2 linked regions of the Rattus norvegicus genome follow. The protein of the gene in region 1 purifies or fractionates together with the protein of each later gene. This does not show direct contact. Links are inferred from orthologs where the notes say so. Each region holds a gene or a part of one and is shown in the gene's direction. Other genes may lie near its edges. The genes, in order: Rps6ka4 and Csnk2b.

The links.
Region 2: the proteins of Rps6ka4 (region 1) and Csnk2b purify together in Homo sapiens (affinity purification with mass spectrometry; 3 studies listed by BioGRID and IntAct, with this or other methods). This does not show direct contact. The link is inferred for Rattus norvegicus from reciprocal best matches to the Homo sapiens genes RPS6KA4 and CSNK2B.

Annotation. Positions count from the first base shown.
Region 1 is NC_086019.1:213,459,101-213,463,513, reverse strand, and holds the start of Rps6ka4 (ribosomal protein S6 kinase alpha-4), read left to right. Parts: upstream 1-1,531; 5' UTR 1,532-1,579; coding exon 1,580-1,634; intron 1,635-1,721; coding exon 1,722-1,793; intron 1,794-2,458; coding exon 2,459-2,677; intron 2,678-2,768; coding exon 2,769-2,884; intron 2,885-3,894; coding exon 3,895-4,002; intron 4,003-4,220; coding exon 4,221-4,301; intron 4,302-4,373; coding exon 4,374-4,413. UniProt on the Homo sapiens protein: Serine/threonine-protein kinase that is required for the mitogen or stress-induced phosphorylation of the transcription factors CREB1 and ATF1 and for the regulation of the transcription factor RELA, and that contributes to gene activation by histone phosphorylation and functions in the regulation of inflammatory genes.
Region 2 is NC_086038.1:3,704,098-3,708,625, forward strand, and holds the start of Csnk2b (casein kinase II subunit beta), read left to right. Parts: upstream 1-1,625; 5' UTR 1,626-1,744; intron 1,745-2,338; coding exon of another isoform or gene 2,339-2,349; coding exon 2,350-2,421; intron 2,422-3,001; coding exon 3,002-3,104; intron 3,105-3,939; coding exon 3,940-4,055; intron 4,056-4,401; coding exon 4,402-4,477; intron 4,478-4,528. Other genes in the region: Gpank1 (G patch domain and ankyrin repeat-containing protein 1), read right to left, coding at 671-707. UniProt on the Homo sapiens protein: Regulatory subunit of casein kinase II/CK2.

The DNA of each region.
Region 1 (4,413 bases):
TGTGAACTTTTTAAAAAATTTTTTTATTTTTCCTTTCATTTTTATTAAATTGGGTATTTCTTATTTACATTTCAAATGTTATTCCCTTTCCCAGTTTCCTGTCTGTCAGCCCCCTAGCCCCTCCCCCTCCCCTGGCTAACATTTTTTTTTTATATTGCAATATTAACATAGGATCTTAGGGACAAATAAGAAAGGAGAGGTTATGCTCTAGCAGAGACAGGTTAAAGGGGTGAAATGTCACAGTTCTGACACCTAGGAAGAGGGAACCTCACAGCTGAGGAAATGCTTCCATCAGACTGGCCTACGGGCGTCTTGGAGGAGACCTTTTCTTGATTCCTAATTGATTATAGGAGGGTTTAAGTCACTGTGGGTGGTACATTCCTAGGTAGATGGGCTCAGGTTATGTAATAAAGCTAGCTAAGCAAGTCAAGGGATGCAGTGCTCACAAGCGGCAGTGCTCCTCCTCACAAGCGGCAGTGCTCCTCCTCACAAGCGGCAGTGCTCCTCCTCACAAGCGGCAGTGCTCCTCCTCACAAGCAGTGTTCCTCTATGGTCTCTGCTTCAGTTCCCATCTCCAGATTCCAGCCTTGAGTTCCTGCCTTGACTTCCCTCAGTTACGGACTGTAACCTGAAAACCAAGCTGCTTTCAGTCAGAATGTTTTATCACAGCAACAAAGAAGCTAACTAATACAGGGACAATTAGGCTGGGTGGCAGGATGTGAGTCAGGGCACCTGAGGCTGCCGGAGGGAGGGTGGGGCTCCCCGGGATAGGTGGAGTGGGGTCCTTGAGCAATCAGCCCTGCAGGCTCCCTCTTTAATTCTTTTCGAAATTACATTTATTTTATATTATGCCATATGTTTGCACTGTATGTAGGTGCAGGCATTTAGATCTAAAGGCAGCGTGTGGAAGTCGGTTCTTTCTACCATGTGGGAGGGAACCAGGCATTCAACTCAGATGGTCTCCTTTGGGGCAAAAGTAACTTTACCCATGTAAAGTGGCTTCCTGTTTTTGAAGTGTACTCTCAAGATGCCCAATACCGACCCAGCATCAAGAGCCTAGGGCCCCCATGTCCAGGGAATAGAAAGACCCCTACTGTATTTGCTGAGCTTAACGAGTGGTCCTAAAGAAGGAGGTGGGCTGTGATTTGTGTCAATTGGCTCAGAGGAGCAGAAGAGGTGAGGCTGCCACGTGGGAGGGAGGGCTCCATAAGCCTGGGTGGGCAGCCCTCCTCAAATCCTGGGACACAGACCTCTAGTGTCCTCCATATTCTGCGGGACCGACGCCAGGCTAGGAGGCTTTCTCCCGCTGCAGCCACATGCCATCCAAAGGCCCCGCACGGCTCTCACCGGTCCAGGGGCCGGGAGACCCTGCCGCCCTCTCAGGCTTCCCACCCGCAGCCCCGTTCTGTCACGTTCCAGCCGCCTGACTCAGGCCGCACGGGGCGGGGAGCCGGGAGGCGGTGCTGGCGCCCGCTCGGCCCCGGAGGCGGCACCAGGAAGCACCCGCCCCGGCCGGAGCCGCCATGTAACCGGCGCCGCCCGGAGCCCCAGCCGCGCGGGCCCCAGCGACCGGCCCGCCATGGGAGACGAGGATGAGGATGAGGGCTGCGCCGTGGAGCTGCAGATCACCGAAGGTGGGTGCCAGATCCCGAGGCGGCTGCCCGGGACGGATGGCAAGAGTCAGCGACCCGCTGGGCTCATTCGCCCCCCTGTGCCCGCAGCCAACCTGACCGGGCATGAGGAGAAGGTGAGCGTGGAGAACTTCGCGCTGCTCAAGGTGCTGGGCACGGGAGGTGAGAAACTGCGTTCACTGGGCTAGTGCCCTGGCATGGTACTTTGGGCCTTCTGCCCGCCCACTTGCCTGGACCTGGGCTTGGGCCTGGCTGCTGGGGAGGTCCCCCCACCCTTTCCCGGCAGAGCACCCCTTGCCCGCCCCGCCCCACCGTACCAGGGTTCCGTGCCCACTTGCAGGGCGTCCGCGTTGACAAGACTGTTCTCTACAAAGTCCTGTGTGTGCATGCCCCCTGCCGCGATTTCCTAGTCTCTTTGGGGTTTTGACTCCCTCCCAAGGGCTTTGCATAGCTTCTCCCCCTTCTTTCCTTGCGAGCCCCACTCTTGTATTTTGCAAATCCCCCAGTCCGGGTTTGCACATCCCTACGCTGTCTAGGAGCGCGCCTCTGCCTCCGTGCCAGCGTTTTCATCTTTTCTCAGCTCTCTGATCATCCCAGGTTTGCACGTGCCCCGCCCCCTCCCCGCCCCGCAGGCCTTCTGGAGTTGCAAGCTCCCCAGGCTAGTTTGCACTGCACATTGCTTCTCCAGCTTAACTGAGCACCCTCCAGGGAGGGCTCACCTTTTCCTTAGAAGGCTCTGTCAGCCTTTTGCACCCCTCTTCCCACCAGTCTGCACCGCCCTCGCACTTACAGCCCACCTTCCAACCGCTTGCTTGCTGCTCCCACAGCCTACGGGAAGGTGTTCCTGGTGCGGAAGGCGGGTGGGCACGATGCGGGCAAGCTCTATGCCATGAAGGTGCTTCGCAAGGCGGCGTTGGTGCAGCGCGCCAAGACGCAGGAGCATACCCGCACCGAACGCTCAGTGCTGGAGCTGGTACGCCAGGCACCCTTCCTGGTCACACTGCACTACGCCTTCCAGACGGACGCCAAACTGCACCTCATCCTGGGTGAGAGCCTGTCATATCTTAGCTTTGGAGGGCGATGGGAGTCGTTAGGCTACCTTGTGGGGGAACATCTCAACTTTTCCTGCACCCCCAGACTATGTGAGCGGTGGTGAGATGTTCACTCACCTGTACCAGCGCCAGTACTTCAAGGAGGCTGAGGTGCGAGTGTACGGGGGAGAGATTGTGCTGGCCCTAGAGCACCTGCACAAGGTAGGAGAGGGCCCTGGCTTTTGGCTGCTCTCTGGGGACTGCCCTGAACCTAATGAGGGGCTTCCTGTTTCAGGGGCAGCATGGGTGGGGATCTTGAAAAAACTGCTTGCCTTGGCATGACCTGGAGGGTCTTCTGCTCCAGAGACTTCTGGAAGGGGCTTTCCTTCAACAGGAACTTAGGCTAACCCTCATCAGACTTCCTTAAGTGGTGACCTCAGACCTCAGTCCCCAAGACCTCTGAAATGGGGCTTTTTGTTTACACTCTTGGAGGCCCGTGCACAGGACTTCTCGATTTATCCCTTTGGTGGCCCTTCTTGATTCCCTTCTTATTCGTTTTTATTGTGTACATCTGTGGTAAGTGTATGTGCATATGTGCCAGAGTACATATGTGGGTCAGATTCTGTGACATTAATGATCTCCTTCCACCATTACATGGATGCTAGGGATCAATCTCAGAGTGTCAGCACTGTCTGCTGAGCCTTCTCGATGGCCCTTAGCCATCTCACGTAGCCTGAGCTGGCCTTGAAATCCCTATGTAGTCAAGAAAGACCTTAAACTTCTGACCCTGCAGCTCCTGTCTCTTTGAAACTGAGAGTACAGGCTTGTCCATCACGCCCAGTTTCTTGGGGTGCTGGGGATCCAACTGAGGAGCTCATGCTAGGTACTCTACTAACCAGTCCCACCCAGCCCCAGCCCTCACTTTTTTCTCTTCTTCCTTTTCTTCTTCATTTGTTGTTTTGTTTTGAGAGTCTCACTTTGTAACCCAGCTCTCCTGGTAGTCGATGAGTAGCCTAGGCTGGCCTCCTATCATAGCCTTCTGTCAACTAGGATGGCAGGTGTGTGCTTACATGCCTGGATCCAGTGGCTTTTCTTAACTAATAACTAGCCCTGCCCCGGCCTCATCCTGCCCTGGACATCTTCAGGGCACATCTTTATCCTAAGTGGGGACCCGCAGGAATGTGTAGGACAACTATCAGGGCAGCACTCAATGTCCCCTCTGCTCCTGCCAGTTGGGCATCATCTACAGGGACCTGAAGCTGGAGAACGTCTTACTTGACTCTGAAGGTCACATTGTCCTCACAGACTTTGGTTTGAGCAAGGAGTTCCTGACTGAGGAGGTGAGTGGATGGCAAGCTCTGCCCATGGTGCTTCCAGGCAGGCCTTTGTTGTGCTCCCTCCATATCAGCCCCCTGGGCGCTGCAGAGTAGTTGGGTACAAGGTTCCCACTGTTTTGTTCCGAGTCTTCTAAAGTTGAGCAAGTTCTGCTCTAAGTTTTTAGGGCCTTTGGGGTACGGGTGAAGTTGAGGTATCCAAATGGGTCCTCTTGGCTTCCCAGAAAGAGCGAACCTTCTCCTTCTGTGGCACCATCGAGTACATGGCTCCCGAAATCATCCGAAGCAAGGCTGGACATGGCAAGGTGGGTTGTCAGGGTGAAGATGGCAGGGGTGGGGCTAGTGCACAAGGCCTTCACTCTGACCCTGCCCCATAGGCTGTGGACTGGTGGAGCCTGGGTATCCTGCTCTTCGAGC
Region 2 (4,528 bases), on another chromosome or scaffold:
AGAAAATGAAGACCAGGCAAGGCAGGAGGATGTGCCAAGCAAGCCTACCTTTCAGGTAGCTCTTGTGAAGACCAGCACCACCTCCAGGGGCCCAGCAGCCTACAACTAAAATGGACCTTCCATCCCCACACTGACTTCATACCTAGGATTCTGTAGAGCCCAGGGCTCATGGATAAAATGTAACCCAGGAATAACTGATCCTGCCACAATGTTAATATAATTTCAGGAGGGCATGGTAGGTACCTATGTCTCTGGGTAGAATGCTCGCCCCGAATTTGAGAATTCTAGGTTCTATCTCTAACACAGAAAAGAAAAAGGATAACAGGAAAAATATTCCACAAGAATAGGGGTCTAGGGGTCCTGCGTTCAACTCCCATCTTCCTACAAAAATGCCAGGCTCTCTCTGAAATCATTTTTCCTGTCCTCTAACACATACCGTTTGAAAATATCAGTTCAGCCTTTTAAATCTTGCTCGATCTTATCTAGGGGGGGTCTCCTTTTCCCAGATAAAAAACAGGCGTGACATTATTCCGGAAGCTTTCGGGGAAAGACGCTGCACTGTCATTTCCGTACCGCAAAATGGCGCTCTCATAATCTCTAAGAGTTGATACAATCAGAGCTACAGGGAGCCATGACGCATGCGCACCAGCAACAACAACAAAACACCCACAAGGTTCAGTTTCCCGCGCTGGAACCTTTCCAAGCATCCGTGTAAAGCATCGCGTGCCCAGGAGCGCGAGGACCCAAGGGGGAACCTGTCGGTTGGGGTCCTGCTTTTACATAACGCCCCCACAATGCTCTTCGCCACCCTCGCCCTGGTCCCTCCAGCACCAAGCTCCTTTCCTGGAGCTGGGAGGCCACCCTCTGCGTTCAGAAAGACTCTGAGGACACAGAGGGGGAGACCTGTGGAATGCCGAGGAGCTGTGAGATGAAGTAACATCACGGCACCCCTCACCACTACTCTGAGCAGGGTTTGAAGAACAGTTAGGGTCCGCAGCAGGACGCTCCATCAAGCTCTGAGGAAATGGAGAAGTACAAAGGGACGAGCGGCAGAATGGCTGGCCCCACCTCAGGTTAGCGCGCAGGGCGGTCTAGATTCTCACGCCGTATGCACAGCTCAGCGCGTCCTAAGCACACCCGACCTAAGTCCCTCACCACACCTCTGCGCATGCCGGAGCCCGAGCGCGCTCTGTCGCGGGCCTGGCAGGAGAGCCAGGGTCCAGTGGGTTGGCCTGGCACGGGGAGGAGGGAGAAAAACTAAAGCGCAACGCCGAGAGAGCACCGTAGGGATGACAATCACCCCGGGCGCTAGCCCCGTAGTCTAGCCAGCCTCCTAAGACTATATTTCCCAGGCTTCCTGGTCGAGAAGACTCCGTGCTAGGCTTCCGCTTCCGGTGGCGCTCCGTTCGCCCCGCCCCCGGGCGGCTTCCTCTAGGGCCTCGCGGCCCTAGAGTCATGCGCGGGTCCTCCTGGGATTGGTAGTTTGCCTTCCCTTCATTTCGTCAGTTTCTCTCTCCTGACGGGACTACATCTCCCGGCGTCCACGGAGGTAGGGGGGCGGTCCTTAGCGCCTGCGCGTTGCTCTCTTCTCCCCCCCAACCCCTAAACCCTCACCAGTTTCCAGTCCCCCCCTCCCCACTTCGTCTGCCGCGGCCGGGTCGGCTTTTTGCGCTGTAGCGGTCTCTGCCGTTCCTTGGAAGCACAGCTCCCCTTCCCCGCCCCAGTCCCAGTCCCCGTCCGGCCGGTGAGTGTGGGGTTGTCTCCGCGCCCAGTCGCCGGTCCCTGGGCGCGGCACTCGGGTCGGTGCTCCTCGATGTGGGGGCGACGAAGGAAGTGACCGGGTCGGTAGCCGAAGGAGGTCGGGGGGCCTGGGGAGAGGAGGCGGCTTGTGGGGACGCTCGTGAGTCCCACGGAAGTGTGGTGCCCTCGCCAACCCTGCGAGGGCAGGAGAGGCCGATTCTGTTGGGTAAAATGAACTTCGGGAGCTTTGGGACAGGCGCCAGGAATATGCAGGCACCTGCGGTGGTGGGGAGCCCGAGCCGAGGGCCCTGTCGCGGCTGACATGGAGGGGAGAGGGGCCTGGCCGTGAGGAGCGCCAGGGACGGGGGTAACACTAACAGATCAGGACCTGTCATTTTCTGGAAAGTAGCGGAACTCGTTCTCAGCACACTGTAAGGGGGGGCCGAGCTAAAGGAGAGGAGCTTGGAGATGCTTCAGAGGCCGGGATCCTTTAAGCCCGGCTGGACTCGGATTCATCCGTCGTTGTGGAGAACGTGTGGGAGGAGGGAAGAGACCAGAAACAGCTTGGTCTCCACTTACTTAGGCTCTTCTTTCTCAGCGGACATAAAGATGAGTAGCTCTGAGGAGGTGTCCTGGATTTCCTGGTTCTGTGGGCTCCGTGGTAATGAATTCTTCTGTGAGGTGAGTTTAGGTCGGCCAACTCCACATGCCCTCGATGTTTGATTTTACGTCGTTTGAGAGCAGATTTCGATCGAGCTCACTATGCAGACTAGACTGGCCTTGAACTCCTGGCAATCCTACCGGCCGCCTCCTGAGTGCTAGTATTGTGAGGGTTTGTCAATATGCATGGCTAACAGAGGTGTCTCTGGTGACCATTAGGGCAGTTAAAACCTCTCATGTCAAAGTTGTGTAACGTGCAAAGCACGGTGTGCTAAGGTAGAAAATTATAAATACCTTTCAGAAACTAAACTACTTGACCTTCATGATTCCGAGGTCTTCAGCTCAGGAGTCTGCTGTCCCCAAGAAGAGGGCACATGCAATTTGTAAAATGAGGGACAGAAGCTGAATAATGTCTTTGTGTGCTGGATCTGGTTTGCCTTAAAGAAAAGAGCTGCAGTTTTTATGAAACTTGAGTACTTCTGCAGAACTGGGACTAGGAAACATGAGAGGTGGCTTGGCTGAGGAAAGACTATCTCCTGGGCCCAGGTGGGAAGATGACGGGCCTTTCTATACTGGTTTGAACCCCTTGACTCCCCTGTAGGTGGATGAAGACTACATCCAGGACAAATTTAATCTTACTGGACTCAATGAGCAGGTGCCTCACTATCGACAAGCCCTAGACATGATCTTGGACCTGGAACCTGGTAACTAACGTGTGTCCTGGGTTGTTGCTGACTGTGGGGTTGGTGATAGAGTGCACTTGTGGGTGCTTTGTTTCCGTTCTCTTCTGCTCTCTGCTTGCTTGCTTCTTGAATTTGTTGATGTTGGGGTTTTTTTGTTTGTTTGTTTGTTTGTTTGTTTGTTTTTGTTTTGTTTTGTTTTTTGCGGGGAGAGGGGTAGTGGAGACAGGATTTTCCTGGGTAGCCTTGTCGGTCCTAGAACTCAGTCTGTAGACCAGGCTGTCCTCGAACTCACAGAGATCTGTCTGCCTCTGCCTCCTGAGTGCTGGAATCACAGACTGGCTTGCTTCTTGAATTTCTAAATTTCCTTTTGATTCTCGCTTGCTCCTGTGTTTCCTCCCCCACCTCTAGCCCCTCCATTCATAACCCAAACTGGACTTTACCACGTGCTGTCCTGCCCTAGCTTTCCATGCTGGAGAGAGGCACACAGCAGTGCTTAACTTCTCCACTGTTTTGATTCCTTGCCTGGTCTTGATGCTCTCTGAAAGCAGCTCGGCTGTTTTGTAATGGTGATTTCCTCTTGGGCCTGGTGTGCTGCCTCTTTCCCTCTGCTGCCCTCGAGGGCCACCTCTGTGGTTGTGTGTTTACATTTACTTACTGTGGAAGGAGAGAGGGACTTAGGCAGAGACTAAGGCATACAGAGAGGCTGCGCTGAGGGTCTTGACCTTGTAGAGGAGTCAGGAGCCCAGGTTTCTGGGTCAGATGCATGGATGGTGGGTAGGGCGAGCTTAGGAACAGGTACTGCAGGTAAGGTAGGGATACCTAGGGAAGCTAAACAAGTGGCCGCCCCACATTTCAGATGAAGAGCTGGAAGACAACCCCAACCAGAGTGACTTGATTGAGCAGGCGGCCGAGATGCTCTATGGGTTGATCCACGCCCGCTACATCCTCACCAACCGGGGCATTGCACAAATGGTGAGGCTCTGCTCCTGCTACTTCTACAGGAGGGGAAGGGTGCATGAGTCAGAGGCTGGGGAAGAGGAGAGAGGGAGATGCCCAGGGCAGGGCCACTGAGGGTCCCATTGAAGGTGGTGTTTTCAGGAAGGGAGATGAAACCAGAAAAAGGAGTTTGCAGGGGACACATGGCAAACAGCCCTGTGCTCTGCAGCCGGCCCCACGAAGGAAAAGCACCTGAGGGGTTGGAGGGCCTGTCTCCACAGAAGGGGCTTCTAGTCAGACTCGGGAGGCGTGGGGGAACCGGGAGTGCGTTGAGATTGCCTACGCACTCACCGACCACTCCCTTCTGTTTTATACATGTCAGTTGGAAAAGTACCAGCAAGGAGACTTTGGCTACTGTCCTCGAGTATACTGTGAGAACCAGCCGATGCTTCCCATCGGTGAGTGTTTATGGGAGGAGGGCACTCTCTGGCCGTCCTGCAAGAAGCTGG